Astyanax mexicanus: one gene and its partner. The protein of the gene in region 1 interacts with the protein of each later gene in a pairwise test. Links are inferred from orthologs where the notes say so. Each region holds a gene or a part of one and is shown in the gene's direction. Other genes may lie near its edges.

Region 1 (17,310 bases):
TTGTAACTAATTTCAATCACTTCGAAGCCTCATGTGTCAATAATGTAAAGGAGGGGTCATCACTTGCTACAAACATAGAGCCGTCTGAAGAAGACTGTGATATGGAAATGACTAAAGCCATGACTGTGCCTTTAAAATTGGGAGAAATTGTGAAAGAAAATGATCTGTCTGCCACCACTGCCCAAAGGACAGACCATGCTCTGCCAGAAAACCAAAATACAAAATTGACACCTATCATAACAGAAGGTTTTGCAGCCGAGTCTGAGCTTTGTGTCAAGAATGACAAACCAAACTCTGCTAAGTCCAGACGTAGGAGTCTAGCTGATCTACAAGTAAAACTTCAGAACATTGCACAATGCATCAACGAACCCGCCGAAATTCAGACGAGAAGTTATACAGCACCTTTATCTCACCTCACCGATTTTGAGGCATGTCCAGGTGAACTTTCTGAGAGAGACACATCAACAGAAATTCAGGAAACTCCTACACTGATAAATACTGCCAGCTCTGCTAATATTGAGAGCACCGCGCCATTTAATCTCAAGAGCTTTCTTACAGCAAGACTGTCACTCGGTGGCATCACACCGAAACTTCCTTCACGATCCAAATCTGCAAGCCCGAATCAAACAGAACCTATTTGCACCAATAGATTTCAAAGTCTGCAGTTGGAGGCACATATGGATGGCGATATACAGAATAGCTATGATGTAATGAACATGATTGAAGACGAGGTGCTTCCTGAAGAAGATTTTTCTGATACTGTGATGAGCTATCTCAGCAGTAAGAAGGATGAACAAGATGTTGCTGCAGTGGCACCCTCGGGTGAGGTTGCTGTTCAGGCAAATGAGTTTGAAAGCTTGCCTGAAAAAAGTTTATGTGAAGTAGAAGATTCTGCGGCTGAGGGAGAACTAAAAGAAACCAATGACATTGTGGTGAGCTCTTATTTTTATGTGCGTTAAAGCAGCAATATGTTGAGTGTGTTTTTAGGAAGGTAAAAGAACAAATCATTATTTTTGCTCATTTGCAGTGGTGTAGTAATTCCACAGCAGCTGGTTTTCCAAGTGCTTCAAGCCACATAACCAAAACAATCGATGAAACAAGCTCTAGTGGCAGTTCAACCCATATAAAATGTGACATCATCTCAGAATCAAGTGAGTTAAACTGTTTTTTTTTATTGCATGCTATTACTTGCAAATTGTGTACCTGTAATTAAATGTGCGTTTTTTCCCCCTCTTTATTTTAAAGCTCTGAAGAACTCCCAGTTTGATTCACAGATGGATGGGACATTTGAACAAGAATTTGATTTCACCAAGGTAACTAGTTTAAGTAAGTTATTAAAGGATAGGACAATGTTTAAAGCAAAAAGCAGATAGTTTGATATCACTACAAATCCAACTTTAAAGCTTTTACTTCTAGTAAAAACATCTGTCCAGTTTTAGAATATTTTAGAAGAATAAGCAGTGATTTTCTTATTTCACATTGTTCATGTCTGTATGGCATAGTTTTCTCCCCTACCTCTGCATCTAGTCTGAATAGTAGTCTTAATATCACATTCTTGTGGCAGGTCAGTTAAACCATCTGAATAAAAATGTAAAACCATGCTGATGATCACGTTTAAATTAAAGTAGTGACTTCCACTTTTCATGACATTTCTGTATGCACTGGTTGAGATACCATGCAAGCTATTTTGTCTGGCACAATTTCATGCAAGTTACCGTTTCCCTCCCTTTTTCTTTATATAGACACTTGCAGATGGAAGCATCACAGTGAATGAGTTCTTAAGCCACTTTGGTGCAAACTCTGTAATTCACAAATCACGACCCAGTGCTCTTCCTGAAAATGTAAGTTGTCCAAATTTCCATAATTCCATATATATTTCAACTGATAACTGATCACCTCAATCTTCTTTGCTTTTGTGCTTTAGTTTAGAATCACCCAAACCAACACACTGATGGACCTGCTCAGGGAAAAATACATTTTCCGTCCAAAGCAGAGAGTATATGAAGCAGATTGCCAGAAACTGGCAGAACTTGCAGAGGGGTATGTACTTTTTTTTTAAAAAGGTTTCTACATTTAAATACATTTGGGAGTGTACAGATCTGATGTTTAAGTGACAGTTTCCTCAACTCAGATTAAAGGTCTTTTAGACAGAAAAAATGGATTCGATTTTTAATGTAGTGAAACCTTCATGGCCTGATTTTATATAAAAACATTTAATTAACCTCATCATCCAACAGTTTCAGATTTAATGTGAAGGAAATCATAATGTATGTGTGTTCCTTTTTAAGTCTTGATGTGTTGCTTTTGGACTGGTTCGTTTTGGTCAGACCGTTTATCAGTAATGTTCATCTACAGTAGTACACGCAGTATAGATATAGTTAACATGAGCGTATCGCAAATAAGAGTCATAACTGTTCCTTCTCTCATTCTGTTGTTTGATGGTTTGGACTGGCCGCGGTCTAACCCATCCTGAAATACTGTTTTCACATTGCATGTTTCAAACCATGGTTGAGTTGATTTTAGACCAAAACTACCTCTTTGGGTGAGATGAAATCTTGGTCCTTTGGTCCAGATTGTGGTCTGGAACACATTTCACACCCGCCATTTGGTTCAGACCAAACTGAAAAAAAATCAGAAGGTTTGGACCAAACAAGGTAGGTGTGAAAGTAACCTAAATCTTGGCTTAAACTAGGAAAGGGTTTACACTGATGATGATTGATTCATCTTTGGCACATTCATGTTTAGCCCAAGGCTATGCTTGAACCACAACAAGTAAAGCAGCTCTAACAGTATTAGTGAATACTACTGTTAAAGTGAAATTGTGTGTTTAGGGAGCATTTTAAATCCGTAAATTATGATCTGTTTTAGGTTTAAAATGCAGATGACAGAACAAGATAAAGCACTAAAAGATGTCAATGCAGCAGTTCTACAAGATGTGTGCGCCTTCTCAGGTGTCCAGGTAAGTCTTTGGGCCTGTTAAAATGTCTGTTAAATATGGGTATAATTCTAAAAATAGAATTCAAAAATAATATTTATTTGATTTTTTTAAACAATCAGAATTTAACACAGAAAACTAAATTGAGACATTTATCATTTAGGCACTAAGAGGAAAATAAGTAGCTATGTTTTTTTTTCTACATATTCTACAGCTACAGAAATTTGGTGGAAAGCTGAAAGAGCGAAGGGGAAACTTCAGAAAGAGAAGCAAGGCACTTTCTCATGAGATAAAGGAAGCCTTGTACTCTGAACTCTGTAAAACGACTCAGGTAAGGTTATGTTGGTCATGCTGTAATCATTACCCAACTTGTGAAAAAGTAATATATATGATTTATATATATATATATAAATAAATTAAGACTTATTACAAACGGATTGCTTATTAAGTTGATACAGTAAAAGCATGTGTTCAGAACATTCCGTTAATTTATAGCAGGTCAGATTTTAGGATCATCACCTTGATCACGATGAGGAGTTAGGAGCACTTGATCTGTACAGATACTCACAGGAGGGAATGACGAACGTTTTCACAATGCACTAATCACCATTGCACTTTATTTTGTGGGAGGTTTTTATACATTTAAATGATTTTAAATGTTTTATTTTTGTAGGAGTCAAAACAGAAGTTGGTGGATAAAATCTCAAAGACCAATGAAATTTTGAAAGACCTAGATGGATGCATTATTGACCTGGAATCTGGTATAGATTCGTAGATATCTATTGACACAAATATTATAATTACTTTTACTTGTATTTATCATTTGCAATCATTTAAATTATGGATTTGTTTTCATGTAGAACTGGAATCAGTGAGCAGTATACTGACGGGCGATCAACATTCCCTAAGTGAAGATGAGTCGGCTTTAAAAGCAAAGAAACGGGAGCTTGATGTTCTTAATTCAGATGTTGTAGAGACAGAAAAGTACGTATAAACTGTTAAGAATTGTTATGTGAATTATAGTTGATGAATAGAACCTTTAAACTTCAAAATATGCTCATGGTGCACAACTGTACAAGATTTTGCTTACACTCTGCCAACCCCCCCGTTCCAGACTAATTTGTGACCTAGAACGTCAGCGGGTTTCTTCTGAGAGCCTTTTGGGGAACCTGCAAGAAGTCGTCAAAGAATTTGAAAACCGTATCAGAACTCTGAACAGGTAATACACATACATATAAATAAACATTCTCAAAACATAATGGGCCTAAAATACATGATTGTACATCTTTTGTTTGGGGTGGTGTTACAGCACTAATATGTGGTTTTAAAAATGTAGGTGCTTTTATTAATTAAACCATCTGATGTATATTTCTTTATTTATTGATCCTCTCAGGTTACAAAGATTTTATTGCAGTGTGTATTATTGCATTTATCTTCTATGAATTTGTATTTGGGGCATAATTTATTTTAGGTCTTAAATCATTGTGATGTTTGATTTGTCAAACACAGGATGTATTGCTTACATTATTTGTACCTTTTATTACTTGAGCTTTATCATTTATTAACCACTAGACAGTACAGTTGGGTGTATCTTGCTACTTGTGAATTACGTCTATAGAAGTGTAGTTGTGACAATACTAATAATTATAGTTAAGTATCTGCGAAGTACCTAATAAACTGGTAGCTCAGCGTAATGACTGCGCTCTTAATAATACACACTGTCATATAAGTGAACTAACAAGATAACAGTAGCAGCAGGCTACAGGCAGATTATACTCACTTCTAAATGGCAGAAGAGCAAATGCTTAGCGTGGTTAGCGGCTAATGCTAATGCTGCTCCAGTCTGGGTGCTGGAGAACTAAACTGAATCTCCTGTATAACTCTGTACTTCAGTGGAGTGACTTTACTGCTCCTTAATACCTGACTGATAAAATTATATATAAGGTTCACTGAATTTTTTTGGGAAAATTAAAGGATTAAATTTTTCGTCCGTCTATATGTAAACATACAGCATTAACATACTGTAATTTTCACACTATATTAGAATAGTTTTCTGTCTTAAAAAGTATTTTAAAAAGTTATATGTATCTCCTTCTTCCATAGGTCTTAAATAAATTCTGATTTAAGACCTATACAGACAGTAAATACAATTTAGTTTTTATTTTTTGTGCATTGGATTTTACCGTTTCCAAATTCCATATACAAGTTAGCTTACTGATTTAAAGTCTGACTGGAATAGAGAACCCGCAGCATTTATTACAGGGGGCGCTATTTTCAGGTACTGTCCTGTAAGCATGTGGAGGTGTTGGGCTTCAATTACTATATTAAATATTATTTATTTACAATAAACAAGCTTAATCATGCTTTCTTTTTTAGTTTGAATGAGTGGCAGTTTTGTGAGCGTGAGGAAAACACGGCTGTTTTCAGCTTTCTTCACAATACTGTTGAAATGGAAGTAAAATTGAAAAACCCTGGTGGTACGTCTTAATGGATACCTCTCTAATTATTTATTAAATTATTAGTGTTTCAAATACATTAAATGTCACAGTAAATAATATGAAATCCTTTTCTTTTTTCTTTAAGAAAGGGGATGGATCTGTGATGTTGAACAGGATGTGGATCTATCATTCAGGTTTTTATTGAATGGTAAGAGAATTTTGATGAATTAAGGAAATGATTTTTTGGGGGGAGAATATTTGTGTTAAGTAAAGTATTTACTACCCCTTCACTGTATTTAGCTTACAATAAAGGACCTCTGCAGAGAATGCTACCCAGCTTAATCAGTTTGCTTGTAGAGAGTGGACAATACCTGTTTATGCAGGCACTATTCCGGTGATGAACCTTTGTGTGTAAGAATAAAATAATTTTTTATCTTTGTCGGTTAAGACTGCGGGTTGGCAAAACGATGCATCTCATGATAGTGCTTATGATTTAGTATGTGATGATATATTGTGGTTCTGTAATCATGGCAGTGTGTTGTGGTTGTTTAAATCTGATTTTAGATATATAAATGTATAAAATCACTATTCATATTTATAAAATCTGCAGAACAGTGAGGTTTAACAAGAGTAAAGCACTGCTGTCTAGTGTTCATGGTTTTATTTTTCTGCTATACTGAAAATCAATATAGTATTCCCAAAAATATTACACAGCTATTATTTAAAAAAAAAACTCTAGCATGTTTTTATTTTTATTTCCATTAGGTGACGCATCGCAGCCTCATGCCCGCATGGTTCATGTGTTGCTTGCAGAGCACATTAAAGCCCAACCTACGTGGACTCAGAAGTACCCAACCACACGACACATACCAGTGGTATGTCTAATGTTTTGGTTGAGCTGTATGGGTGGGCATTATCCCCTCTAAGAATTTAACGGAATTATCAGTTTTTTAAAGGAATTATCTTTATGTAATACCATTAATGATGCAAAAATAGGAAAATGATATATAATTAATACGATGCTTAACACATTTAACAAAGTCAATGGTAATTTTTGGAATAATCTGAATGTATATGTAATTTTTCCACAATAGTTACTCCATAATGTCAGCTTGGTGGTGAGCAGACTTCGACTTCTAGGTGAAGAAATCCACCAGTTGAAGAAATGGGGAGGATTGAGATTTGACATCCTACACTTCAATTGTTCGGATACACTGTAAGTCAAATCCTGTATTCAAACATACACTTATCATCTGTCAGACTTCTTAAAGGTGATTTCACTAGAAAGCAGTTAGTTTTTGCTTCTTTGAAATACAGTAGGTCACTGAGTTGTGTCTGCATGCTGCATGTGAAACTGTGCTTCTACCTGAATTAACCAATAAAAGAAAACGAGATTTTATGGCCCCGCCCACTGCAGTGCTGTGAAAGGATTGTCGCAGTGCCCTAAGTGACATTTGCATATCATGGATATTCATGAGTAAGAGAAAAAATCCTGTGTTTCTTCCCCACCCATTCCTCCACCCAAATCCAACACAGAATTAATGATAAAATGAGACCTTTACCATCTTAAAGAAATTAAACAGATAATAAAAGCATCATTTTGTACACTCAGTCAAGGCTTTTTTAGCAACACTTTTAGTTTGTAAATATGAAGTCAAAATAAAATTATTTTCTCAATATGATCTGCTTCAATCCAAAAAGTGGCATGTCTCGATGTCACACCTGACCAGTTGTATGTCAGTTAATATTGATTAATTGAGCCTCATAAAACTCAACAGAATTTGTCTTTAAATGTAAAGCAGAAACACTTTCCTTTCACACCTGTGGTTGGTTTCTCTGGTCAGAATCCATTAACAAGTTTGTTTACTTGGTCGGATTTAGTTTCACACAATAAAAAACGCAAGTACAGCAAAATGCATCACAACAAACCACAGTGACTCAGAGTGGTCTGGGGCAGGGATAGTAAAATAAAGAGAGAAAGGTCCTGTTTCAGACCAGCATGCGTATTTGTGTAGTGTGAAGCTTCTTTCACACTAAATGCTGAAGAGTGTGCTGCCTTCCCACTGAAAACAATATATTCCATGCTGTGAGAGGGGAGCACTGCACTCACCATGTTCAGTAATATAAGAACTTGGCATGAAGCAACACTATAGACGCCCTTTGTTCATAGCTCTATTAATATTCAGAGTAATAAATTCGGTTAAATGGCACCTGTCTAATCACATTCTCACAACAAATATTACTGGTGTGGAAACTCTTATGTGGAACCACTCTACCAACGGAGTTATGCTAGCTTCTCTTTCTTCAGTATCCTCTCGCAACTGGAATTCCTTTTGTATAACCGAATAAAAATAAACCCCTTTTAACAATATGAGGTTATTATTATTTGATACTGAAATGTGAGGTGTAATATCTTTTTTTCTCTCTTTCCTAGAGTTGAGATTGTTTTCTCCAGTATCAAGGCCTGTGCCAAATTTGAGCTAAGTCTGACTGTAACTCCAGACTATCCCTTGAATCCCCTTCAAATGCAGAAGTTTCAAAATCTCATTGGGAAAACAAGGTATGGTATTTTATTTGTTTGGTTTTAAATGAAGGGTGTTTTGCAGTTACTATTCAGTATACATTCATTGTCAAAACTAGATGCATTCAGAAGGATTCCGTCGACAGGAATGAATCTTGGGGGATGGTCTTGCCAGACTTTCATAGATTCAAAGAGTGGCTTCAGATTGTCACGCATCACTTTTCTGGGCTTAGCAAAATATGGGGATAGATAAACATCATAAAATGCGTCTTAAAACAGCATACAGCATTCTGGAAACAAGATGGAGAAGTGCATAATATCCTGACGCTTTATCTATACATCACTTGAGGAAATATGATGCACATTGAGTAAGCATCATTTCTCTTGTCCTTGTTTAAAAGCTTATTGTACTCAGTTTTTTTTTCTTTCTTTTTTCACAGAGTTGACCAGATTGAAGATGTCTTGTGCTCTGTTACGCCGGCAAAGAATTATCTGACTAACCTCATAAAGAAGATTCATGCTGATCTTCTGTAAAAGGACTTGTGTGACCTGCAATTTTTTGTTTAATGAGCAATGAAAAGTGCAAAAAAAAACAGATGAATAAAAATTTTAACCAGCATTTTTTAACACTTGCGTGTGTAATTTAACTTCTTGTGAGCGCAAATGTGAAACTTGCAAGCAAAAAAAGTGAATTGTGTGCGCAGTGAATAAAATATTGCTCTCAAGCTTCATTTTTAATCCTCTCAGGTGTTTTTTTTTTCTCTCTCTTTCTTCGTCTCGAAGTCACCGTTCTCCTGTGGCAGCAGTTTGTGAGCGAAGGGTTGTTTGGATGATAGCATAGGCAGCTAGCTAACTCTCCTGCTGTCCTTCTTTCTCCACCCTCCTCAGGCTCTGGGAGGTAGGCGGTCCTTCACAAACCCCAGGAGATATCAGCCAATAGTGTTCGCTGAGGGAGGTGATCCTGACTCCGCCCCCAAACTGTCAAAACCACCCCTTTCAAAAGTCAAGGGGCGAAAAAATCACCCGCGCACAAACTGCAGCCACAGGAGAACTGATTTCGAGATGAAAGAAAAACCCTAGAGGAGAAAAATGAAGCTTGAGAGTGATATTCTGTTCAGCGTGAACACAATTCCTTTGCGCGCGAGTTTCACATTTGTGCTCACAAGAAATTCATTTACACACGCAAATGTTAAAACACGCTGGTTATTTTTGACATTGATGTGACTTTCTTCCACTTCAGTCATATTTACACACAACTTGGTCATGTATATACTGTTCAATGATAGTTGCTGTATGTGGAAACTGTCTAATAAATGTATTTTTGCTGTCAGTTTTAGTCATGGTTCTTGAATTGGTCATGTTAATGCATATTATTGTGAGAAATGAAAGTTTAAAGCTATAAAACCAAGTCTGTAACTGGCTACAAAATATGGAAGTTGTACACATAACCAAAAAGTACATTGGGACAGTGAGTGAGGCAATTTCAAGTTCAGACCAATTGTTCCATAAGAGAAATCTCTGTAATTTGCTCAGCTAAAGTTATCCGTATGAAATAGGAAAATTATTTTATACTTTAATAGACAAATCCATTTCCGTGTAGGTATATGGACTGGGTGAATATTTAGTTGCTTAAATAGCAAAATGTTTTAATGGTTAGTTAGCCTGTAAATAACTAACTATGATCATGTACATATGGGTGTTTACATACAGTATGAAGAAATGTTTCTTCTTTGTACGAATAATTTAAATGTAGATCATCCAACTAATTTGAATATAATATAAAGACAATACAAATAAACACGATGCAGCCCTGAAATGATCATTACATTTGTTAACAGATAAACATCAATTCAAAATCCAGATCATCCATGTGAACAAGTAATTGTCCTTTTAGCTACTAAATCAACCAGTTACTGAAATTCAGTTTAAGAAATCTAATTCACCAGATCTGATAATAGAATCTGTCTGTCAGTGAAAAGCAGACCTGGTCCCAGAAAGCAGGTGATAATGTCAGGATCAGTGGAAAGTGTGTTCTATTAAAATGAGTTATTAATTTGGGTAAAGGAACAGATTCCACAGTAGCCCAAGATGCTTCTGCAACACCAGTGTCACTGTGTACAGTTAAATAAAAAAATTAAAACAAATAGACGAAGAACAAGCTTCCTAGAGGAAAAGATTGTGATGCAAAAATCAAGTTGTTCAGCCACAATAATATTGGGACACTAGGCCAACTGTTAAGCATTGTGGAGTAGTATCATACTATGGGGCTGCTTTGTTGCCAGCGGGCACTAGTTCATTACATAACCTGAACAGAGTAATGAAGATTTCTTTATAACCTCAAACCATCAGCCAGACAGTTGAATCTTTGACACAGGACAGCAGGGAGGGGACAAATAATGCAGCATTATAGTTTACCTTCTCAGAATCCTGATTTCAGTCACATCAAAATTATTTGGTCTGTTCTTAAGGTCAGATCAGCTTCAGGAATATTTGTTTCTGCCCTGAGAATAAAAGGTTTTAAACAATAATCATCACTGTAATGTGCATGAGTTTATGTGAACTGCTGCCCATTGTACATCCAGGTCCAGAAACTTCTTTTGACCTTTTAGCTAATTCACTCTAATGTGATTCTTGCTCCTGTAAGGTCCTGATTATTGAAGAACAGGGCAATTCATATTTTGCAGAGAAAAAAAGGACTACATGCTGTAATTATAGAACTATAAAGTGCTTCTATATGGTTAGATGAGCTTAAAAATGAATTTTAATTGCACTGCCTTTTTTGTCCAGATCCAATCACCACAGCCTCTGATTGGATTATATAAACTATGATCAGTGTGTATAACTGCCCTTCAAGCAAGCAAGAGGACTCTCCAACCCAATAGGAACATTCTTATTCACTATTTACGAATTAACTACAGGAATATTTGACACTCTACCTAAAATTCAAAGGAAACATTTAAAAGTTGTAATCAATACTTAGATTAATTAATCCTAAATAGACCCGGCGTATGTTTGTGATGCAGTCCACGGTGACGCAGACCGTCTGTAAGCTCTATTTTGAGATGAGAAGACTCTGCCACCTGTTCCTGCTCTTCTGGGCCTCCTGACAGTTTGCTTCCCCTGAATCATAACAGTTCAGTCCTTACAGCACTAGCATTTACTCACTACCCTGCATCCAGCCCACACTTCACCTACTACATCTCTGTGGTATCAGGCACTGACTGTTTGATTTTGATACACATCACATTTTCTGCCATGGCTGAAGCCGGGTACTCGGAGGACCAGTGGGAAGTGGAGGCTTCTGAAGATGAATTTGGAGAAATCATAAAGAGTCGATCAGGTAAGAGAACCAAACTCACTGTAGCGTGTAGCGAGGCAAATAGGATTTCAGAAAATAAACATTCTGTGGAATTAACTTTTTTTATGTATGCATGTTGACGTGTAAGTCATTGTTATTAACTTTATTTTAGTTGATGCGTCTGCTCATTATGGTTCTATAAGTCTTTGTTTTTGTAAAACCTTTGAAATGAACATATTTGTGTAATAATCATTTGGCTTGTGACCCTCCCTGAATCCAGCTTAGACACAGAGTGGGCTATATTTACTCCCCCGATGAAATATGGTCTTAAAGAACTTAAAATAGCAGCAGCTGCCTGGTGTAAGATTACTAGTGGCCTTGTTTGAGCTAGTATATTGTTGTTAGCTAGCAGCATAAAGACATTTAAACTACTAATTTAACACTTTTACCAAGATTCTCAGAGTCTATAACTGCTGAAGAACGCAGCTCTTCTGCTGCTGTGTGAGTGCATGTGAAGAAGCTCTGCAGAATGTGGGTGGTCTATTGTTAGTCACACTGTGGCATGCTTTGGCATTGAGTGTCCAGTTAATTTAGAGCATTTCTCAAGTTGTATGCGACAGTTTGGCTCTGGAGGTTTGCAACTCTACCCTGTTGCTGTCCGTATCCATCCTACGTTCCTCTTTTATTGCTCATGCTAGGGCGTGCCTGTGCTTTTTAAATCTATCTTTATACTGAATGAAGTAATGCTTCATTCAAAGTATTTATTACAGTTAAATCATTCCAGTTCAATTGCTTGTTACCACATTAAATAATCTGTTTAGATTATTAAAAAAGACAACCCAACTTTTACATTCGCTTATACTGTGTGTGTGTATATATATATATATATATATATATATATATATATATATATATATATATATATATATAATCTTTACCAAAATAATCACAGTAAATATTTCTATGTTTAATTGCCATTTATTGAATGCTGATTGTATGTACTGTTATTTATTCTGATGTGTGAATGTAATGATGATCTATGTATAGATGTATCTATCTATGTATGTAGAGTGAAAGATAAGTTTATTGGGTGAAACTGTAGAAAAGTATAGAGACTATATTACCCTGTTGGACTTCTAATTGGCGATATATCTGGACAGTCCTGGGAATTCTGTGTGTGGTCAAGAATTATCCTGCCAGTTGGAAGTCCTGCAATGAGTTGTTCACAAGTCGCTGAGCTGTTCGTGTTCCCCGCACCACTACTAGAGGTGACCAGCTGTTGTATGCAATGGATCCCCAGATCATCACAGCAGTGTGTCACTCCACAGGAAAGTCAGGATTAAAATCCTTATCCAAAACTCTATATTCAAACCTGACTGTTGTTGGATCCCAAAACAGAACCTGGATTTATTGCTAAAGACAATATAGTTCCAGTCTGAGATTTCTCTTTTACAACACTATCATGAATAAAAGTGATGAATAGCTGACAAAAACATCCTTCTTCCTTCTTTCTCTGCAATGATGTGCCCCCTTTTAAAGTCTGTCAACTGGGAAGAATTGTCTTCAAGTGTGACACTGAGTCACAATCTCTCACCAAGAAATATACATCCATATGTACAAAAGAGTCCAGTCATAATTTAGGAGGTATTTTTTCCCATTCTTCCTGTGAACATGTTTTACTGTGTGTAACCCCAGCTGGCATTTCAACATTAAATCAATGTTAATGTTATGTCAAAGTCAAGTCAAAGTGGTTTTTATTGTCATTTCAGCTATATACAGAGTGAAACGAAACAACGTTCCTCCAAGGACCATGGTGCACATAAACACAGTGTAGACAGAACAATAGTTGTCTCCTCATCTTTTCTGCCAAAGCACTAAAGCTGACTCAGGTTTCCAAGCTCAGGGCACTAAACCTACTGGAACGCGTGCAGTTAACTAGCTAGCTTTATACGCCGCTAGCTTTCTTAGCCTAAGCCAAGTCCATTATACCGGAAAGGGCCCACTGCTCCAAAAATACACACCTTCGAGTTTCTACTGTACAGACCCCTGTAAGTGTAGTCAGTGAGGACTGGAGATAAACAGATAAATAGCTAACGCTAGCTGCTGAGAATGGAGTATTTTTGGACATAAGAAATGTTTATATTATCGGTGTACTCATCACTGATCAGATAATCAGATAGTAATCTGATACAAGGCATCTGCTCCTCCACTGACTGCAGTTCATGTTAGCTTGTGTAGCATGACTGCGTTAGCCGGCATAGTCCACATCACTTTAGCTAACCTAGCTATCCTCACCAGTAATGCCTCAATTACCCCATGCCTTATTCTCCCAGCTGCACACAGAGTGATATAAATGCAAAAACACATTTTTTGTTAAATAATTAAAGTGACCATCCCAAATAAGCTAACCTAGAGATTGTGATAAATGACCTGGCTAAAGTAGCTCAGCTACCTGTTCAGGAGAAAAGTAGCAGCTCAGCAACTATATTTACTCTTTCTGAGCTGGAAGACTTCTCCATCTGTCCAACTCACTGCCAATATTTACTCTCATTTTATTCCATCTTTGCTCCCTAAGTGGATGAATGCCAAGGCTTACGGCTGTGTAGCAGATAAGATTTGGGCTAAATCAGACTGCTTGCTTGCTTGCTAGATTCCATGTCGTCTGCTTTGCCGGTGTTGTGTTCCTAAAACTGGCAACCTTGGGGTAAAATTAGTGTTGGGGAATGAAACTGGAGATTTAAAATTCATATAGTGGATAGGCAATTAGGTAGTGTTTAAACTCACAGCACATGACGTCTATTCGTTATGTTGTCCTTTAGACAGAAATTGTATGTTCAGAGTGGATGCCCAAAGTTAGGTGGTGTGAAGAGGTGGTTTTAATATATGTAGCTGTCCATGCATCGACATATTAACCATCTTATTCTGTAAAGGAAACGCAGATGGTGTCAGTCTAAGATTCCTGTCTTTATATATGTTCACTGAATGATTTCAAATACATGCTTCTATTTAATTTACAGTATTATGTGTTCATGTTGCGATTGTAAAAAAGTAAGAGAAAAACCTAAATTACTTATTCACATGTTTATTAAGCAGAATTGTCCAACATGTATTTATGGCTATTGAAACAGAACCACTTCTCTGTTTGCAGTGCAGACATATTGCGACCCCTGGCTGTTATCACTATCACCATGTTTACACCACAATTAGTGATTTGTGAAATGTGTTAAAGCGTGCAGAGTAGCTTTGATCAGAGTGAGTACTGTTCAGGGGCCTGTTGTGTTGTAGTGAAAGTGAATGTTATTGATAAATCAGTTATAGGTGCTGTGTTATTTCTGGCTGAAGATTCTAACTATAGCCTATAGGCCATCTGCTGTCTCTCCAGCTGCCCCCTTTCTGTACAGCAGTTCAGAACTGGCTGTGCTACTTGGCAGGAAGGGGAGTCACTGTGGAAGAAGAGGATAAGAGGGTTGAGAGGGAAGGTGTGAGAGGGGAGGTGTGGAGGCAGATGCTGAGAGTCTGAGTGAATGAGAGAGGGAGATCAGGGTGAGGTGTGAGAGAAGAGGTGTGGAGGCTGAGAGAGAGAGAGAGAGAGAGAGTGATCAGGTAGAGGTGTGAGAGGTGAGGTGTGGAGTCTGAGAGAGAGATAGAGAGAGAGAGAGAGAGAGAGAGAGAGAGAGAGAGAGAGAGAGAGGGATCAGGGTGAGGTATTGAGAGAGGAGGTGTTGAGTGAGTGAATGAGAGAGTGGGATCAGGGTGATAGGGGAGGTGTGGAGTCAGAGAGAGAGAGAGAGAGAGAGAGAGATCAGGGTGAGGAGTGAGAGGGGAGGTGTGGAGTCTGAGAGAGAGAGAGAGAGAGAGAGGGATCAGGGTGAGGAGTGAGAGGGGAGGTGTGGAGTCTGAGAGAGATAGAGAGAGAGAGAGAGAGAGAGAGAGAGAGAGAGAGAGAGAGAGAGAGAGCAGGGTGAGGAGTGAGAGGGGAGGTGTGGAGTCAGAGAGAGAGAGAGAGAGAGAGAGGGATCAGGGTGAGGAGTGAGAGGGGAGGTGTGGAGTCTGAGAGAGAGAGAGAGAGAGAGAGAGAGAGAGAGAGGGATCAGGGTGAGGAGTGAGAGGGGAGGGTTCAGTATAGAGTTGTGTGATGGAGTTCAGCACGCGCTGAGAGGAGTAAACATGCAGCAGCAGCGTCTTCACTACAGGTAACTCTCCGCTCACTCACAGCGCCCCCTTACCCAGAACCCGTCTGCTCCAGAAACACCTGATCACCAGAGCAGGAGAGATTCCTCCATACCGACACAGAGCCTTGCGCGTGCGGGTAAGACTAAACACAGGCAGGGGAACATGGAGAGAGAGAGAGAGGGGGGGGGGGGGGGGGGTGGAGGTAGGCTGGTGTTGATCCATGTGATCAGGAGCTGCGATTATTCTGCTCTTCGCCACAGAAACCTGCACTGACGCATTTATTATCGAGTCGCGCTGTCGGTCACGCGCCGCTGCTAGATCGCACGATATTTAATAATAGCGCTGTATCCATTCGGGCGCGTGTCTGGATCTGGCGGATCTCTCAGATCAGACCGACTTTTTACCGAGCTCGACCCTCAGATCAGATCAAATCATTACCGCTTTAGAGCACGATAAACCCGCGCCCGGGTTTTACTGGGTTCTGGTTCACAAAGTTTCGCGACATATTTTGTGACCCTTGATCAGCATCATCATACAGTTCATAAGCGCACACGCGCAGCTTAATATCGGGCTCAGGCAGTGTGTTTGGAAATAATGTTTAGAATAAGAGGCTGATTAACACAGGCTTCCTCTTTCCCGAGCACATGGTGGAGTATGGGTCTGAGCAGCAGCAGCAGCAGCAGCAGCACAGTGTTTATAGCGGCTCTGTGGGGTTGAGGAGCTGCTTGTTGGTCTGTTTTGTTTCTACAGGAAGATTAAGTAACTGAGGCCAGCAGCGCCTCCACATCCCACCGAGGTCTCTGTCCGTTTAGCCGCGGCTCAACCTAGTTACCTCCTCATCCTATTTGCACAAGGGCGGCTATAATCCACCGAGCTACACGCTGCTGTGGCGCAGACGCAGCTGCCACCTGCCTCCAGTCACGCGTCTGAGCAGTCAGACCTGCGCTCAGGCTCCAGCCTGTCTGTCGCACCGCTCCGTCTGTCTGACAAGCAGAAACGCTGTTTTATACTGAGGCACTGCCCGCCTCTCCTCTCCACTGATGGGCGGAACCAGATTCTGAATTAGATTCCAAACAAACTATCCTCCTGAACCTGATACGAGCTTTCTGAAAAAGGTCTTCATAGAGCAACGCTTCATCATTCGTACCGAAAAATACGGTAAACAACGATATTTTAAGACTTTAAAACATTCTTAAATTAGTCCGCAGCTTGTGTGTGATGCTATTGTTGTTAGTTGGTTTAAGTGTTTTGTGTATGTTGGTGTTGCCTAATAGTGGTTTTGACGAGCATTTTTTCTATTAAAGTCAGGCATAAAATGATTTAGCAAAAAGTGCAACTGCTAACTGTCATATTATCTGCCATTATATATTGTATGTACATGAAACGTTTCACGCAACTACATTCAGTAGTAGCATGCTCTGCTGTTCTAAAATCAGTCGTTTCATTTTTTTATTATTAGTCCAACATAATCTACCTTTAAAGACAAAATATTTAAATATGAGTAAAGCTGGGCATACACTACACGACTTTGAAAATACTCTGAAAAGACTTTTAACAGACTAAAGTCTGACACTCTCTCACATCTAAAGACTCGTCACAGACTTTTTACTAACAGACTAAGATTTAGTAAAGACTGGGGATCACTAACTGCAAGACTGAAACTAGATTCTTTCCATACAATATATATTACATATTAAGTTACAAATAATGTGTATATTAATACTGTGATTTATCAGACTCACAACTTTTGTCCCCATTAACAGTTTATATTTATGTTCTTGATATTTTGTAATAGAATACTTTTTGTGTTAAACTCTGTCTATAAGCTTCTATTCCTCTTTTATTGCAAACAATTACAGTTTCACTGCTATATATTTGCCTTTGTTTTAGATAGAATTAATGCAATAATGAACATAATTCTTGCAAAATGTGTATTTATTAAATT
Region 2 (16,832 bases), on another chromosome or scaffold:
AGACAACCTAAGTGCCCTCACAATGAATTACAGCACAAATAGTTCAGAGATATTTTGTGGCCTGTGTATCAAAACCAACATTTAAACTGAATCCTAAAAGCAACATGCAACTAATGAAAAGGTATCAGTACATAAAAGCATTAATAAAATTTTCTTTCCTTACGATATAAATAATGAACTTTAAGCTGTGACATTTTCCATTCTTCCTTTACCCGCCGACAGATATTTTTCAAGAGCAAATATCATTGCTTATCCATAGAGAATAACAATGAGAATTCATTAGAGGTTTTATCCTCATTCTGGGGCAACCTTGTTAAAAACACTTAAGCATACACTGTTAAAAGAGCTGGCCAGGTCATTAACATCAGTACAAAGAGACTAAAACCTTTATTCAACTCAATATTCAACAGAAATGATGACTAAAAATAGTAGAATAAAGCTCAGAGCCGGCCCAGACCAATGTGATGTATAAGGCGAGATTATGGTTGGAGTCCCTTGAATCATCAATCATTGTGTTTAGCATTAAAGAGTAAAAAAGTATTACAGAAACAAGAGAAATTAAAATGATTACATAATTATGTACAAAATTCGGAACGATATATAAACATAATATTAATATATATATATACTATATTAATACTTTATTGCATTAACCTGCACAGTAATAAAATCTGTATAATAAATTATATAAATATAATTATAAAAGCTAATTATATTACCTATGACACATTATAGCCTGTAACATTCTAAAGACATACATACATACTACATACTGTATCAAAAGCAATTAATATGTATTAATAACTACAGGAATATCATTTTGATTGACTAATATAAGAAAGGCTAACATTTGTCCAGTTTCTTCAGGCAGATAGTGGAAGCTTTGTGCAGGCAGTGTGTTTAATTCTGAGGGGACGACAGATGTATGTTATGTTATTATACCTGAATGGTCTTTCCTAGTTTTATTAATGAATTTAGGGTAGGCGTTACAAATGATATAGAGATGATTGTTAGCTAGCAGTTATTTATTAAATGAATGAACAGTAGCTACTAATGTTGCATCTGACAGAATGACAGGATGGGCTTTTAAAAAAAAAATAGAATTAGTAGAAATACAGTTTACAATAAAAGTTTTTCATTTTTTTCTTGGTGACGCCCTGGCCTCCTATGGATGGACAGTGCCACTAGCATATGCCTATACTGCCTATGAGACAGGTTGGCTCTTATACTGCTATTCTAAAGATAACTATGCATTTGAGATATACAGTATCCAGCCTGGAGATCCAGTAGATGGAGCTAGACATTTAACCTGCCTGTGGCATCTGGCTCATCTGGATCATTTCATATCAAATCTCACATCTAATACATCAGAAACAAAAGCATGGGTCTGGCTGTTTCATAGCAGACAACAAAAGTGTGTTGACGAGCAAAAAATAATGGCATCAAAGAGCCTTGCGCTAATAATGTTTGACAGCAGCTGCATGAGTCGTGCTATTTTCTGACATCTGGGAGCGTGTGTTTCATGCGACAGATAAAGTGTTCCTCTGTGATTTGCAACAGCTGTCATTTTGAACTAGAGCTAGTTAGAAATTGTCACTATTCACAGCAATCATACAAACCATACACACACACACAGATACAAAGAGCTTGGGAGACTTCAAAGCTAATATAATCTCTTTAGCCTTTCCTTATTACCCAATATGACACAAAAATGTAGTCCTGTAGGGCTTTTAGACAAAAATCACATCATCTACCATCATATTTCTGATGTGCATTAGTTTAGACTGTTTAGTCTCTCTGTTCTCATGCTGTTACTGTAGCTGACCTCAGCTGGGCTGCCACACAGAAGACAACAGCATCCCAAACAGAACCAGCGGTCACTGATTTTAGTGGCTTAGTGACAGTTTTTGTCACAAGTGGTTTCTGTTCAGCCGTGTGACAGGATGGTGAGGAAGAAGCTGCTGTTGTGTCTGAGCCTTTAAGATGAGATGATTAATGACAAAGGGCCGGAGAAAGCCCAGGGCACAATCTGACGGATTATTATCTTTACTTTAGGAAAAAAATAGAGACTGTCACATAAACAATTCAGATTCTGACAACAGGACAGTGACTTCTTTCACTGCGGAAAAACTGCAGAACCAAGAAGACGTGGCTATGAAAACAAAGGGCAAACAAGACCAAATAAAGCAGCATACTATTTTTGCTGCTGATATATGGCATCTGATATATGGCAGTATAAAGATATTAAATATTACCATGTAAACAAAATACTATACATACTGTATATTTAATATTAACATATTGTTACGCCCAAATGTTTGGGGACATTATTTGTAATATAAAATAGAGATAAAATGATTATGTGAGACAACATTGATGTGTAACAAGCATGTACACTAACATTCCACATATCATGGGATAAAAATATGTTAGTATCATATCCCATGAAAGTTAAAGAACAATACACAAAATTGTTCCAGTCACAAATTTTGCTTTTCTAGACCATAGTCATACATAAGGAATACTTTTTATCTAAACTGCATGATTTGTCTGCATGAAACAAATAAAGACCTGGATGTGTTTTGAGTCTGTTAAGAGAGACAATTGTGGACATATTTACAGAGATTCATGACCATTTCAGTATTTGTTAGCCTAGCACATCCAGAAGCTTCAGATCTCAAACACCTTGGAGAGCCAACTAAATCTTGAGTAAATAATCCTATTAATTAAACCTTCACCAACTTGTTCTTTAAATTCATGAGCACATATCTGTCATTTGCTTTAGGCTGGAATATTTATATTATACAATCATTTCTTTAATGCCCTCAACAACGTAACACAAACATTAGCAACAAACTCGTGTTTGTGTAAGCTGATAATGGCTCTCTGCACTTGGTCACGTTTCTTGGGGGCATATCCACACTCGCTGTGGAGGTTAGAGGCTTGTGCAACAGGGTGTGAGGCCTTTTACAATGTGGTGTGATAAATGCTTGGTGTGTTCCAGCTCATTCGCTGTGCTTAAAAAAGCCCAGAGAGCTCCAACACTGTCAAGCACGCCAGCATCAGCCAGTGATCCGTTTCTGGGTTTATCTACTCTCATTCTGTCTCATGTAGCCACAGGATTTCTTCTGCCTCAGAAACAATAACCTAATTATCTCCACTGTTCAGACAGATGGGGTAGTTGGTACATATAATTACCAGCAATGACAGGTCAAATTCCATATTCAGAAAAAGAAAGAAAAAAATGAGAGAGAAAGAGAGAGAGAGAGAGAGAGAGAGAGAGGACACTATGAGCACATTGCAGTCATGTCATGTTTTCACACACTCCCTCCACTCAAGCTCGAGTGTCTTACTGTGAGAAGCAGGGAAAGTGCTAATGGGTGTGCAAATATTTAGCGTTTGTGAATGTGATTGACTGTGTGTGTGTGTGTGTGTGTGTGTGTGTGTGTGTGTGTGTGTGTGTGTAAGATTTAGGTGTTGACGGTTATATGGTGTTGGGAAAAGTAAAAAAACGAAATCTTGGCAACGTGCTACAGTTTCCATTCTGTCACCTGCTGCTGACACTGACCAAGTCCCAGTTCGACTGAATCAGGGTTTCTAAAGCTTAGTGGTTGTGAATCAAATTAAGAAGAGTCGATCTCTGCACCAAACCCATTTAATACTACTGGATGCTTCAGGACAGATGATTTATAGAGGCATTTGTACAGCAAAGAAATGCAATTCATCCATTGCTAAGAATGAACTGAACTTTAGGTCCTGTCTCTGATCTAATTTGAAAGATGTTTGCCTGTACTATTCTCAAATTTACTATATATCCAGAGGATGCAGTGAAATTGTGAAAAAAAAAAAATTGGGAAATTTAAGTATTAAGAAGAATGCATCTGTATTTTACGTATCTGCATTCATTCCACATTACACTAGGCACAGTATGGGAAATATTAAATAATATATAATAAATAATATATTAAATATTAATATTTACACAGTTCAGTCAGAATATTATGAACACCTCCTTGTTTTTACACTCACTGTCCATCTTATCGGCTTTACTTATTATACAGAAGCACTTTGTAGTTCTATAATCAAGGACTGTAGTTTTTCTGTTTCCCTGCACTATATTATCAGGACATCCACAGAGCAGGTATTATTTGGATGGTGGATCATTCTCAGCACTGCAGTCATGGTGGTGGTGTGTTAGTGTGTGTTTTTTAGCTTGTACAATGAATGGATCAGACACAGCAGTGCTGCTGGAGTTGTTAAACAATATAGTGTGACTGCTGGTGGATAGGAGGATGACCAACACAAGACCAACTGTGAAGCAAAAGATGAGCTTTTGTCTACGACTTTACATATACAAGTAAAGGGGGGTTAACAATGTATGCAGAGAAACATATAGACTACAGTCTGTAATTACAGAACTACAAGATGATCCTGTTTAATAATGGATCAGCTGGTCAGCTGAGATCTGAGATCCACCACTGGGGTTTTGTGTTATCTTTCTTGACAGAACACAAGCACTTATATCTTGACTCTTTTTTCAGGGACAGATTAACAAATGAGCCTCCCGAACATGTACCTATGGGCTCTGGCCACTAGAGGGCTCAAAATCAGCATAGACTTATAGACTATAGTTAATAATCATCACCAGGGAGCTAGAAGAATACAAGCTAATGCAAATGCAGTTCAGATAAAGCCTACACCTGTGCTTTTATATAAAAAGAAAATACTTAAAATGACAAATAGAAGTCAAGAAGCCATACTAATAATGAAAAAGTACATAGCTGTTATTCCAAACAACCTGCATCTCAATTGGAACTTTACAAAATGTACAAAGGAAGTAAATCATTACAAATGTGAGGGTGTCCAATTTATTTTCCAAATTCCATATTACTGTGTGTGTTGTCCTTCATTTTTGAGTTACTACATGTAAAATATGTCTACATGATCTAAGCTGGTCATCAGGAGAAAACATCATCTTAGAACTTGAGCAGAAATTTGTTAATTTAAGTTGGATGGACAGGCAGGTCAAATTTCACATTGTACTTGTTGCATAACTTAGTGAAGCTTGTTGGCCAATTTGTTAAAAATAAACATACTGGTCAACCACCAGCATCATGCTGGCAATGCTGGACAACCAGATTGGTCATAATGATCACGTTCTCAAACAAACTTAGACATGCACCTCAACAAGACTGGACACACTATTTAAATTGCCAGATCAGGCTGGTCATATTGATAGACTAGATATACCATCAAACTCAAACAAAAATATGCCCTATGTTGGTCAAGAGCTAAGCTAAGCAGTTAGAAATTAATAAGCAATTAAGTTTTAAACTTAATATATTTAGGGCATTCACTATCACATCACATACAAAATTCCCAAAGCATATTGCCCAACTATGCTTTTAGTCTACCTGACAACCGATCAGTAACTGTAAGCTGAAAAGGGAATTACACACCCTGGATCAGACTTTCCAGTTAAACGCATATCCCATAAATCTGTTCCCGGTTCTTCGGGGAAATGAATGTGCTTATACTACACTTTTTTCCGTATGCTAACTCCCGCTATTTATGAGCTTTACATTCTGCACACAGCTTCCCCTCCTGGAGCTGAGCAGCCAAGGGAAACTCAAGGAGGGCAAAACATCATCAGCATTTCTTTAAAAAATGAACAATCTGTTGGAAACACATTCTACTTACCCTCTATATATTTAAATTGCAAGATCCATGTGCAAAAAAATGAGGTCCCTGCTGTGCATGGCAGCTGTAAAAGTCAAATAAAAGCACAAACTCATCAGCAAAGTAGGAGGAAACTTCACTGAAAAAGATAAGTAACAAAATAAATACATCAAGTATTAACAGCAAATGAACACAGTCAGCATTAAAATTGTAAATGCGGGTGATTTCTCTGGAAAGCACCCTGGGTGGGATGTAGTAAGATCCTCAGTCATAAAGCCTTTATGGTCAGATCGGATTTCTTTTGGTCGGCTGGAGTGCGCCTTAAACACAATTGGAGGAAATATCTGATATTAATGTGAGCAGTCTAAGCAGAGCGGTAAACCTCAGTGCTTGTGCTGGACTGAAACCAACCGCACTCAGGTCCCGCCAGTCTGGTGTGGCTCCACGGCTGAGTTTACTTGGCCACGGCTTCAGTCGACCTGATCAGGGGAAGTGTTCACATGTCACCTGATACTCATGACTCATGAAACTCACACCCCCCGAGTAGTATGTTTTACTGTGGGAACACAGAGACTACGCTGTGGAAAAATGTCACTTGTCGCAAGATAGTTGTCTCTGGTCAGCAGTCTTTCCTGCATTGTGGAGATTATCAGCTTTACCAGGTGAACACTAAAAACATATTATGGAGCAGATAATGCTCACACAGGATGTCGCACACCCAGAACCTCATTAACACTAAAACACGTAATAAAAACTACTGGAAGGCTTTTTCAATTAATACAGTGCCTTTGAGTAAGAAGTAAAAAGCAACATGTGTAACAGAAGAGTAGTATGTAAACATTTTAAGAAGCGTTATTACAGGGGATGGCTTGGAAACACCGATATCTGTATAAGCTTTTATAAGGTCAGGCTGAACACTGGTCACCTTGCTCATGGCAAGTCAATGTGAATGATCGTTGTTCGAGCGAGGCCATAACATTATATTTCTGAAATTGTGTGGATATTTAACATTTCTCAAACTACCGTGTCAGGTGTATACCGGAAATATATCATAGACAGCATTAACATCCATAGTAGACAGCAGACTGCGTGGTAATGATTGTGACTTGCAGCGTCTGGTTAGCCCCCAATTTGGGAACCACTGGTGTAGAATATAATATAATGTAAACTCTGCATGAAGTCTCTGTTGGGCCATGTCCAACATATCAATGCTTAAATGAAAATTATTTAGAATTGAAAACAATTAACCATGGTGGTGCTTAAGCCCTGGCTTTTCACCAGCCACCAAAATATGTATGGTAGGCGAATTAGCTATACTAAATTATCCCTTAGGTGTGAGTGCGTGAGTTAATGGCTGTGTGTAGTACCCTTCAATGGACTTGTGGCTTGTCCAGGAGATATTACAGTCTTGCACCTCATGATGTCGGCTTGGATCCAAACCCACCGCTACCTTGACCAAGAAGAAGCAAATAAAAATTAAATGTTAAAAAATATTAACAAATTAGGATAATTCAAGACAATGTTAAAAAAATATGTATAATAATATAAATAAACATATTAAGTAAACTGTGCTGCATAAATAAAGCTAAAGCATTAATATTAATCCGAAGTACAACTAGGTCTATCACGATAACATTTTTTGTGGACATTATATGGACCCAAAATGATTGCGATAAACAATATAATTGTCATTTTAGATTTAAACAATATCACTGACATAATGATAATAAGATTGCGTAACAAAACAACTATACACTTTTAAATTGTAATTAATCACAGATTGTGAAATATACAATTTTCTTATCCTACTGCAGTCCACAATCATTGGTCTGGTGTTGCATGACTGGCTAAAATACTGTTTGGTGATATGTATGTGCCCTATCATATCAGTAAAATTTTGTAAATGATTTAAAGAAAACAATATTGTAAGTAGTAAAGTGACTTGAAACAGTCTTTTTTTTGTATTTACTGGAAAGCTTTAATGGTTCATTTTGTATAACGTTACATGCATTAAATGTTGTTCTTCTTATTATAATTATTATATTATGTGTAAACCCAGAATGTAGGTGAGTTAGCGTTGTTTATAAAATAGACAAAAGTTTACTGATTTATTAGTGTTTCTACTGAATGTTTGAACGTATTGTCCCTTAACCGAAATAAGTTTTATTATATTTTATAACATGTATTGGTCGAAGTGGCATAAATTAATTAATTTATTAATAATACATTTAAACACTGTAACGTTATTGTAGGGCCAGATTGCTCACCGTTGATTTGAAAAAAAAAAAAAAACTTTTTTGGTAACTTCTCTGTCCAGTCACCTTACCATACCTTATAATTTAGCTTTAGAGTTAATTTTAAAAAAACATTATTTTATAACGTGTAGCTAAACAAACTATAAGTGTTAAGCTAGCAGACCTCTTACTGTGCTTACTGTGAACTGTTAGCCGTGCCCTCCCACTACCACCACACACACACACACACACACACACACGCAAACGCAAACTAACTAGAATGTGTGTGTGTGTGTGTGTGTGTGTGTGTTACAGTCTGTCCCGTACAGCCTGCCCAGTCTCTGGCTCGCCCGCGCGCCTGCTTCAGAGCTGTAGCCGCTGTAGTTGGGTAAACTCCATGGCTGAAGGCAGTCAGTCAGCCGGGGGGAGACGGCGGCTCTGAATACCCGCGGATTAAACACGCGCTGTGGGCTACTCCGGAGGGAATTACGGGAATTATTACTCGGCGGAACCGAAAGCTGGGGAGGGAGGAGTGTTGTTTCTATTTTAGCGAGAAACAAAGAACAAACCCGCTCTGTTTTAGTGAATCTTCTTCTTCCTCCAGTCAGGTAACGAACCACAACAAACTCACTCGGCGGCGCGGTTTCCATTAGCAGGAGAAACACGCTGAGAGAGAGAGAGAGAGAGAGCTGGGCGGGAATGGCTTCGTCTCCCTGTAGCAGCAGCAACAGTGGTGGCAGTAACTTTGACTGCGGACTTGAAATCAAAACTCGGTCTGTGGAGCAAACACTCATCCCGCTGGTGTCTCAGGTGAGTCTCCTAAAGCCTCGGGAAACTTGCCCCGTACTTCTTCTTCTTCTCCGGCTGTGTGGGAACATGTTGGTCGCTAGGCAGCAGCTCCAGCCCGCTCTCAGCGGGGCTGCCTGCCTACACAACTACCTAACTACCTAAACTACCTAACTAGCTAGCCTTACTGTGTGATATAAACATGAAAAAGGGGCAGAAAATGTGAGGAATTTTCCATAATTACCCAGCGCTGTCAGTTAACCTAGCTCTTATATTTATGTTTTGGGAGTGTTTTGAGTTTATAAAACGTGGTGAAAGGAGAACATCCTTCTGGAAAGTAAGTAACTATGTATATTTATGGTTTTGATAACAGCCTAACCTATCAAACAACTAAATTCCCATTTAATTAATAAGTATCTCATTGAGTAGCTACACCTCTGGAAAAATAAGAGCCCACTTAAAATGTTTTTCTTTGGGTTTCTTTGATTTTACCAATTGAATCCCTCTGGAATATAGTTAAGAGGACCAACAAACTGTTAGAATTTCTGCACCAGGAGTGTCATAAAATGATCAAAAACAGTGTACGACTGGTGGAGGAGAACACACCAAGATGAATGAAAAGTGTAAATAAATACCAGGGTTATTCCACCAAATATTGATTTCTTAACTCTTAAAACTTTATACATATGAACTTGTTTTCTTTGCATTATTTGCAATGTTTTTATTTGGAATTTGGGAGAAATGTTGTCAGTGGTTTATAAAATAAAACATCAATGTTATTTTACTTAAACATATACCTATAAGTAGCAAAATCAGAGAAAATGATACAGAAACTAAAGTGTTTTTTTTAACTTTTTTTTCCAGAGCTGTATATATAACTAACTAGCTTGCTAGTAGTTTGTTGAAACTCAGATACCTGCTGGTGTTAAGGTGTATCAGACCTTAATTCATAATATTTTAAAGGGCTAGCCCTGCTTCTGGTTTTTATTTTTGACTCAGTAAACCTCAGCAAACTTAACATATCTTAATCTAACTAATTGTGTTTGTGTGTTTGTGTTTTACTGTGCTCTACTGTGAGACTTCTCATCCAGCAGTAGAAACCTGCAAGGTGTTTTTAGTAGCGGTGTTTGATTAACCCTCCTTATTGTTTAGGAACAGCAATGGTGTTCCTGGGTCAATTTGGCCCAGTGCATGTTTAATTATCCGAAAGAATAAATAATAAGAAAAAATGTGTCAGTTTGACCCGTAACATAACAGGAGGGTTAAAAAAATAATAATAATCACAGTAGAAATCGGTAGTTATTAATCACCATTATTCACACTTTTTCTTACTTAAGACTAAGCTTTCCATAATTGTGTAAATGTAAATAATCAGTGCCATGCACATATAGATTTATATTATTGGTGCCAATCCCTTAATCCCTGTAACTAAATCATGGATAAAATGGTGATTACATTACATGTAAATGCTGGTATTTAAACTACTTTTGGGAAGGGGACAATAATGTATTAAAGTATTATAATATATCAGGGTAGTTTTGATGCTTTTTAAAATGGAAATCTCAGTTACTGAGTTTAATTATAATATTAAAAACAGTGTGTGTTTGTGTGTTTCATGGTGGAAATCGGCAGAAAAGTGAATAAATAGATTACATGAATATAAATCATCCCTATATCAGTATAGATCATGTTCCACCTAATCATTTTATTATCAGTCAAATATTGAATTGAGTGTGTGTTTTAAAGCAAGAAAGCACCAAAATGTGTAGAGCAGTAGGCCTCCAGCCCTAGGGTTGAGAAACAATGGGTTGAAAGACCTGTAAACCCTGTATACCCATTTTTTTAAACTGTTGACATAAATGCTAGTTTATGTACACAACTGTTGTATTACATTATACATGATCAGGCTGTTTTTACTTTTTGCTTTTTTTTTTTAAGTCGAACTGAATTACACATGTATGTGCACACTTTTTGTGGTTAAATTGTAGTTTTGTATTTGCCTTTTCATTTAAAAGCTGAACAAATATTCATTTAGGCTATTTTATGCATGCAGTTATAAAAAAAAACTTGTTTAATTTTGGTTTTGCCCCCAAAAATCTAATATTAACATTATATTAAATCATTTTATTTAAAAGACTGTGCCTAATTGAAACAATAATCTGGACTGGAACACTTCACCTTGTGTGTTAAATCCACCTTGTGTGTTAAATTAAGAGGCAAGGCTGCATTTCTACCAGTGCTGAACAATATGCTGTAACTTAACCCTGCTAAAAAATAATATTTAACATTTAAGGCTGCTGGCACACTGTATCTTAAACACTGTGACTGGTGAGCTGTGGGTCACCATAAAGATCATGACCACCATTGATGGTAATGAGGCTGAAAGGTCAGTGATAGGAGACTCGCTTATGGTCTATTCAGTGTCCCCCTGAGAGATGCAGGACCCTTTCAGTGTCTCATAGGGTTCGCACAATAGGTGGCCCAAGGCATCCCAGTGATAACCCTCCCCCTTTCTCCTGGTCTGTTTCATTGAGCTTATTTCCATTGAAGGCCTTCAATGTTGAGAGCTAAAAATATGCACAGACCAACCGCCTTTTATTTAAACCACCTGATTGTTTCTACACTCACTTTCCATTTTATCAGCTCCACTGAGCATATAGAAGCAAGTTGTAGACTGTAGTCCTTCTATGTTTCTGCATACTTTATTATACTCCTTTTACTCTTATTATCCTTCTTTTACTCTCAGGACCACCACAGAGTCGCTCTTATTTGGGTGGTGGCTCATTATCAGCACTGCAGTGACACTGACATAGTGGTGTGTGCTGCTGGTACTTTATACATAGCAGTGCTGCTAGAGTTTTTAAACAGTGTCAACTTACTGACCACTCTATTAAACACACCTACCTAGATAAATCACTTTTGTAGATAAAGTAAAGTCAGAGACAGGAGTTCACCTGTTGATGCACAGTTTGTGTTGGTCATCCTGTATTCCTTAATCAGTGATCACAGGACGTCGTCCACAGGACTCTATTTGCTGGATATTTCTGGTTGTTGGAGTATTCTCAGTCCAACAGTGATACTTAGGTGTTTGAGAACTCCAGCAGCACTGCTGTGCCTGATCTACCTGTAACAGCACAACAGACACTACTAACACACCACCACCATGCCTGTGTCACTGCAGTGCTGAGAATAATGACCCAGCATTCAAATAAGGCCTGCTCTGTGGTTGTCCTGTGGGTCCTGATGATTGAAGAACAGGGTGAAAATTGGGTTTGTAAGTATGAAAAGAAAAAGATGGAGTACAGTTTGTATTTATATACCTACAAGGTGCTCCTGTAAGATAAGTGGAGCTGATAAGATGCAAAGTGAGTGTAGAAACAGGGAGATGAGTGCTTGGTATTTATAAACCATTAAAAAAGAATGATGGAGTATAAAGAGGTAAGCCTGATGCTGATTAAGAGATCATCTTTATGCTGATTCCTTCTGAATCTGTGTGTATATAGTGTTGCACAGAAGCCCTCAAAACCTCTACATTTCAACAGTAGTAAACAGAAGTTGAGGCAGCTTGGAGGCAAACAGAACTGACGTAGCTGTTTGTTTGTGTATGCTTTTTGTGAAACACTGCTCTTGGGTTAAAAGTGCATGTGCTGAATGACAAATACCCAGCGCTGAGCAAAAGAATTGTTTTTCTTTTCTTCATAATTGATGTTTTCTTCAGCCAGTGGCTTTGCGCCTGAAAACCGCCCTGCAGCAAATATCCGTCAACAGTAGTGATTTCATCCCTGGCAGTGAACATATTGGAGTAAATAATGTGTGCAAATGCAAGTGTGAGTGTGAGAGGTCAGCGGAGGGTTGTGGGAGGGAGTTGGGCTGATTTACAGGGAGGAAATGAAGTGAGAAAAGGCACTATTAAGAGTGTTTTTTGACTTGAAGGGAGGGCTGTGGGGCTGCACATCTATGTGATCTTTTGTGTGATCATGTGATCACTCCCACAGCTGTGTAATAACTGTCTTTAGACTCCAAGACCTCAGAGAACCTTTCTACCTGCATGTCTGCTTAGGTGACACATCTGTGCTAGACTGTGGCTGTATAGGGAAAAAAATATGAAGGCCTTTGTGGTTTAGATACCAAATTTCATGACCTAGGAAATTTTATTCTGTCAATTTTTGAACATATTGATTCATAAGGGACACTCTGATCTAGTTGTTCTGGACCACAATCTAATCTGATAACCTTCATTTTGGGTATGATGTATACAGCTGGACAATATGGCCAAAAGTTTTAACACAATATATTTTTGTTATATTACTTACAATATAATTTTGGGCAATACATGATTCTGAAAAAGCCACCACCCGTGGTGTATGCAATCAAGCACTGATGTTGGCAGGTGTTTTGCCCTTTCTGTAATGAACTTAATCAGTGACAGATGATGTAGAATGTTCTTATGTGTTAGAATGCTAGGCTAATTTTTGATAGTTTCTTGTAGGAAAGCCTTAAGGAAACACATCCAGCATGTCCATACATGCGCAATGACATCACTCTGGTGTGTGAATGAAGAGCAGAAATATATTAGTGTGAGGTCTAGGAGTCCCATGTGGACACGTGGGACTATATATATACAGGTGTCAACCAATACAATTTTATTGTGTTACAGAATAAAAGTGATGTCAGCTGTTAAATCATAATCAGATCATGTCAAAATAAAAGTCAGTAATTCAAATGAATAAACAGAATATGTCAAAAAGGTCACTAATTTGAAGCTAACAGACAGGCAATGAAACAGACCATGTCAAAATAAGAGTCAGCTTTAAATAGATGTTATATTAAAATATGCCTGGATGGTCCTGACCCTGACCAAAAAGAAAATTTTAATCTGGTCATCAGCATCTCTAAATGTATACGGTAGGTGCATCTGAAAACAGATAATGGCAGAAAGAGCAGTTTATTAAGTAGGTCTACCTAATAAACTGGCAGCCCTTTGTAGTTCGCTGTGTATGAAATATATTAGATAACTTATTAAAATAACAAATTTCCCAAACCCAACACTACTACAACCGCATGATAAAACTAACTAGACCTGGCTGATGTGTTAATAATTGTACATCATTGTGGGGTGTGATCTTGTAACTTGAGTCAGGATAGTACTTATAAAAATTCTGCAGAGGCTTTGATGTGATCAGTCAGATTTTGAATGCCTATGACAAGAACGGCTTGTTATTACATATTTGTGCTGGCTCTGTCTTTTTTTCTGCCAGGCTAAGCACCGTTTTCCTGAAAAGATTTGCAGCTATAATTGGGCTGAATATCCTTTCTCTGTCTCACTTTGTTATGTTGAGTCCTTATGATTTTGTTCGTTTTGTGCCATCAATTGATTAATTAGGGTTGTAAAAGTGGGGAAGTTGTGTGTGTGTGTGTGTGAGTGTGTGTGTGAGTGTGTGTGTGAGTGTGTGTGTGAGTGTGTGTGTGAGTGTGTGTGTGAGTGTGTGTGTGAGTGTGTGTGTGAGTGTGTGTGTGAGTGTGTGTGTGAGTGTGTGAGTGTGTGAGTGTGTGTGTGTGTGAGTGTGTGTGTGAGTGTGTGTGTGAGTGTGTGTGTGTGTGAGTGTGTGAGTGTGTGTGTGAGTGTGTGTGTGAGTGTGTGTGTGAGTGTGTGTGTGTGTGAGTGTGTGTGTGAGTGTTTGTTTGTTTGTTTGTTTGTTTGTTTGTGTTTGTGTGTGAGTGTTCACTTAAGTGCAGAGTCTGCCATATCATATACTATACCATATCATTATTCATGCATAGTCTTGGCTGTCCAGAAAGCAGAAGTATTTGTAAAGTACAATTTTAGTCTAAAGCATTATTTAGTCCTCTCTTGGCTCTTGATAGTTTAATGATATGCACCTGTTTTTCACTTTTTCAAGCACACTGTTCCCAGTATACAAACTGCTATCCCATAACGTCTGGCATAATCAGTGAGTCCAAATTTTGTGATGAATAAACCTACAAAAAATTAAATAAAAAAAAAAGCTAAATATTTTTGCATTGACTTCCTTTGAAAGTTTAGTTTTTTTTCTTTGTATTTGAGATAGAAGGTCTTTGCATTAGTGCGCAGCATATTAATTATCCATAGCACTTTATTACAGAAGAAATCTCATGGCACGATTGCAGTAATCAATGGACGGAGAGCAGATAGGATAAACAGTGTGCCTCCTTAGGCGATGGTGATGATGAAGAATCTCATCTTTGTGTAAACCACAAGGGATTACAGGGCCAGATACCTTCCGGTGCTAGAACAACACAGCCGTCATGTATAGTGTGTATAAATGTGGGCTGTGAGCTGTGTGTGTGTGTGTGCGCTTTCCTGTGTGTGCATGTCTCTACTGCATTATATTTGCTTAACCGGTGGAGGTATGAAGGCCAAAGCCAGAGCTGATAAGATTTATAACTGATTACAACTCAACCAGGACCATCTAAGCTGCATTTTACTTGAAGCTCACACCAAAAAGAGTCTGACAAAGAATAATGTTGTATAATGAGACATTCGTTTTTAATCAGACAATGAGTTACATCACCCTTGAGACTGTGTGGATCAGAGGAGCAGGCCGTAAGTAAAGTCAGCATTGTATATGTGTGAATTTTGCAGATTAGCTTTCAAGCACTATGTTATTCATGTCTGCACACAAAAGCAGCATTAGCAAATTTTCTTAGTTTATTACTTCATTTTGCTTTTGCGCGGTGGAATTTGTGTTCTGGTCATTGAACGACAGCCTCCTCCTCTCCAAATATTACTTCTCAGCAGCTGCCAAGAGAGCAGTTATCACTTTGTGTCTTTATAAAAGGCAATAAAGCCACTCGCAGATGTGGATCTGTTGCCATTTCTTCACTGATTCACAGTACAATGAGAATGCTCCACTCCCCATTGCAGTTAAAAAACACTTTGGTATTGGTATTTTTATCTGGCCAAAGTTGCTGAGAGGATAGTGCGGGATAAAAGGGAAATTTTTAGTTTATTACATCATTTGAACACAACAACTCTCCTTTACATTGTGTCAAAATTGTGTTGTGAATTGACCAATAAAAATACTGTAAAATATTTAGATCTTTTATTTTTTACACTGATTTACGTTCAAAATTAGGATTTTTTTTTCTCCTGTAAAGTTTTGCATTTAAGAAATGCATGCTTTTCTGTGGACAGTGACAAAACAGCATGGTTACCACTTTTCCACTTTTATCTGGCCCCAATAAATGACCTATTTTACCTGTTTTTAACTTTTCAGTCAGTGTATTAGTCAGGCAGTTTTATACATTGTTTCACAATTTCACAATGAAGAAACTAATAGCAATGCTCCAAAATGACATAGAATTTAATATTTGTACCTTTATTTAATAATAAATTTATGTAATTTTCTTGCATTATTTGCTAAATAAGTTCATCTGGCATTTTCTGGTATTTGATGACATTCAGCAACTAGAGAATTGCTATACATGTTACATCCAACATACATGCAGGTTCCATAATATTTTTGCCATACACTTTCTGCCGTTCTAATTTGCTGAGACTAGTAATACGGATAATACAGAAGTAAATTTATGTAGATATACTTCTGTTAAAATCTTTGCCCAGCAATATGCCAAGTATTCATTTCACTGCTGATTTTAAATTTTAAATTCCATAGCAAGCGAAAAAGCTTAAATCTCCATCATCAGAGCAGACGACTCTGCAAGTTATTTCAGTGTTTTATATTACATTTGTATAGATTTATGGCCGTTCATATCTAATAAAAGTCAGCTAAAGTGATTAGTGAGGATGCTGTCTCAGAGGGTCTCTGCTGAGAACTCTGAATGCGCACATGCTTAGCTTTCTTACTTAGAATGCCTCTGAAATGTCAGAATTAAAAACAAATGAATGAATGCATATTTTGCATTTTACTTCTGTTGAAACAGATGTAGCTTGTGGAATTGAAGGGAGGATTGTGTTTCTCACTTAAAGAGAATCTGGCTGTTTTTTTTTTTTTTCTTCAATTTTATCAATTTTATGCGTGGAATATTTTTTTTACCTTGACTTCCATTAATAATTAAGAAGATTTTCTTTCTTTTGTAAAATCAGCATTTTGGAGTAATTATTTGATTTACATTACACAAGTATTCTTCTAG

Evidence for each region.
Region 2: the proteins of dmd (region 1) and ctnnal1 interact in binary tests that used the Homo sapiens proteins (3 or more experiments, as listed by UniProt). The two-hybrid records come from large-scale screens. The link is inferred for Astyanax mexicanus from reciprocal best matches to the Homo sapiens genes DMD and CTNNAL1.

Annotation. Positions count from the first base shown.
Region 1 is NC_064428.1:3,143,972-3,161,281, forward strand, and holds the start of dmd (dystrophin), read left to right. Parts: upstream 1-11,030; 5' UTR 11,031-11,149; coding exon 11,150-11,234; intron 11,235-15,366; exon of another isoform or gene 15,367-15,385; intron 15,386-15,481; exon of another isoform or gene 15,482-15,501; intron 15,502-17,310. Other genes in the region: uncharacterized protein knl1, read left to right, coding at 1-932, 1,028-1,151, 1,246-1,313, 1,743-1,841, 1,925-2,040, 2,869-2,959, 3,150-3,266, 3,609-3,696 and 8 more. UniProt on the Homo sapiens protein: Anchors the extracellular matrix to the cytoskeleton via F-actin. Ligand for dystroglycan.
Region 2 is NC_064410.1:47,339,697-47,356,528, forward strand, and holds the start of ctnnal1 (alpha-catulin), read left to right. Parts: upstream 1-8,193; 5' UTR 8,194-8,612; coding exon 8,613-8,723; intron 8,724-8,865; exon of another isoform or gene 8,866-8,976; coding exon of another isoform or gene 8,977-9,036; intron 9,037-16,832. UniProt on the Homo sapiens protein: May modulate the Rho pathway signaling by providing a scaffold for the Lbc Rho guanine nucleotide exchange factor (ARHGEF1).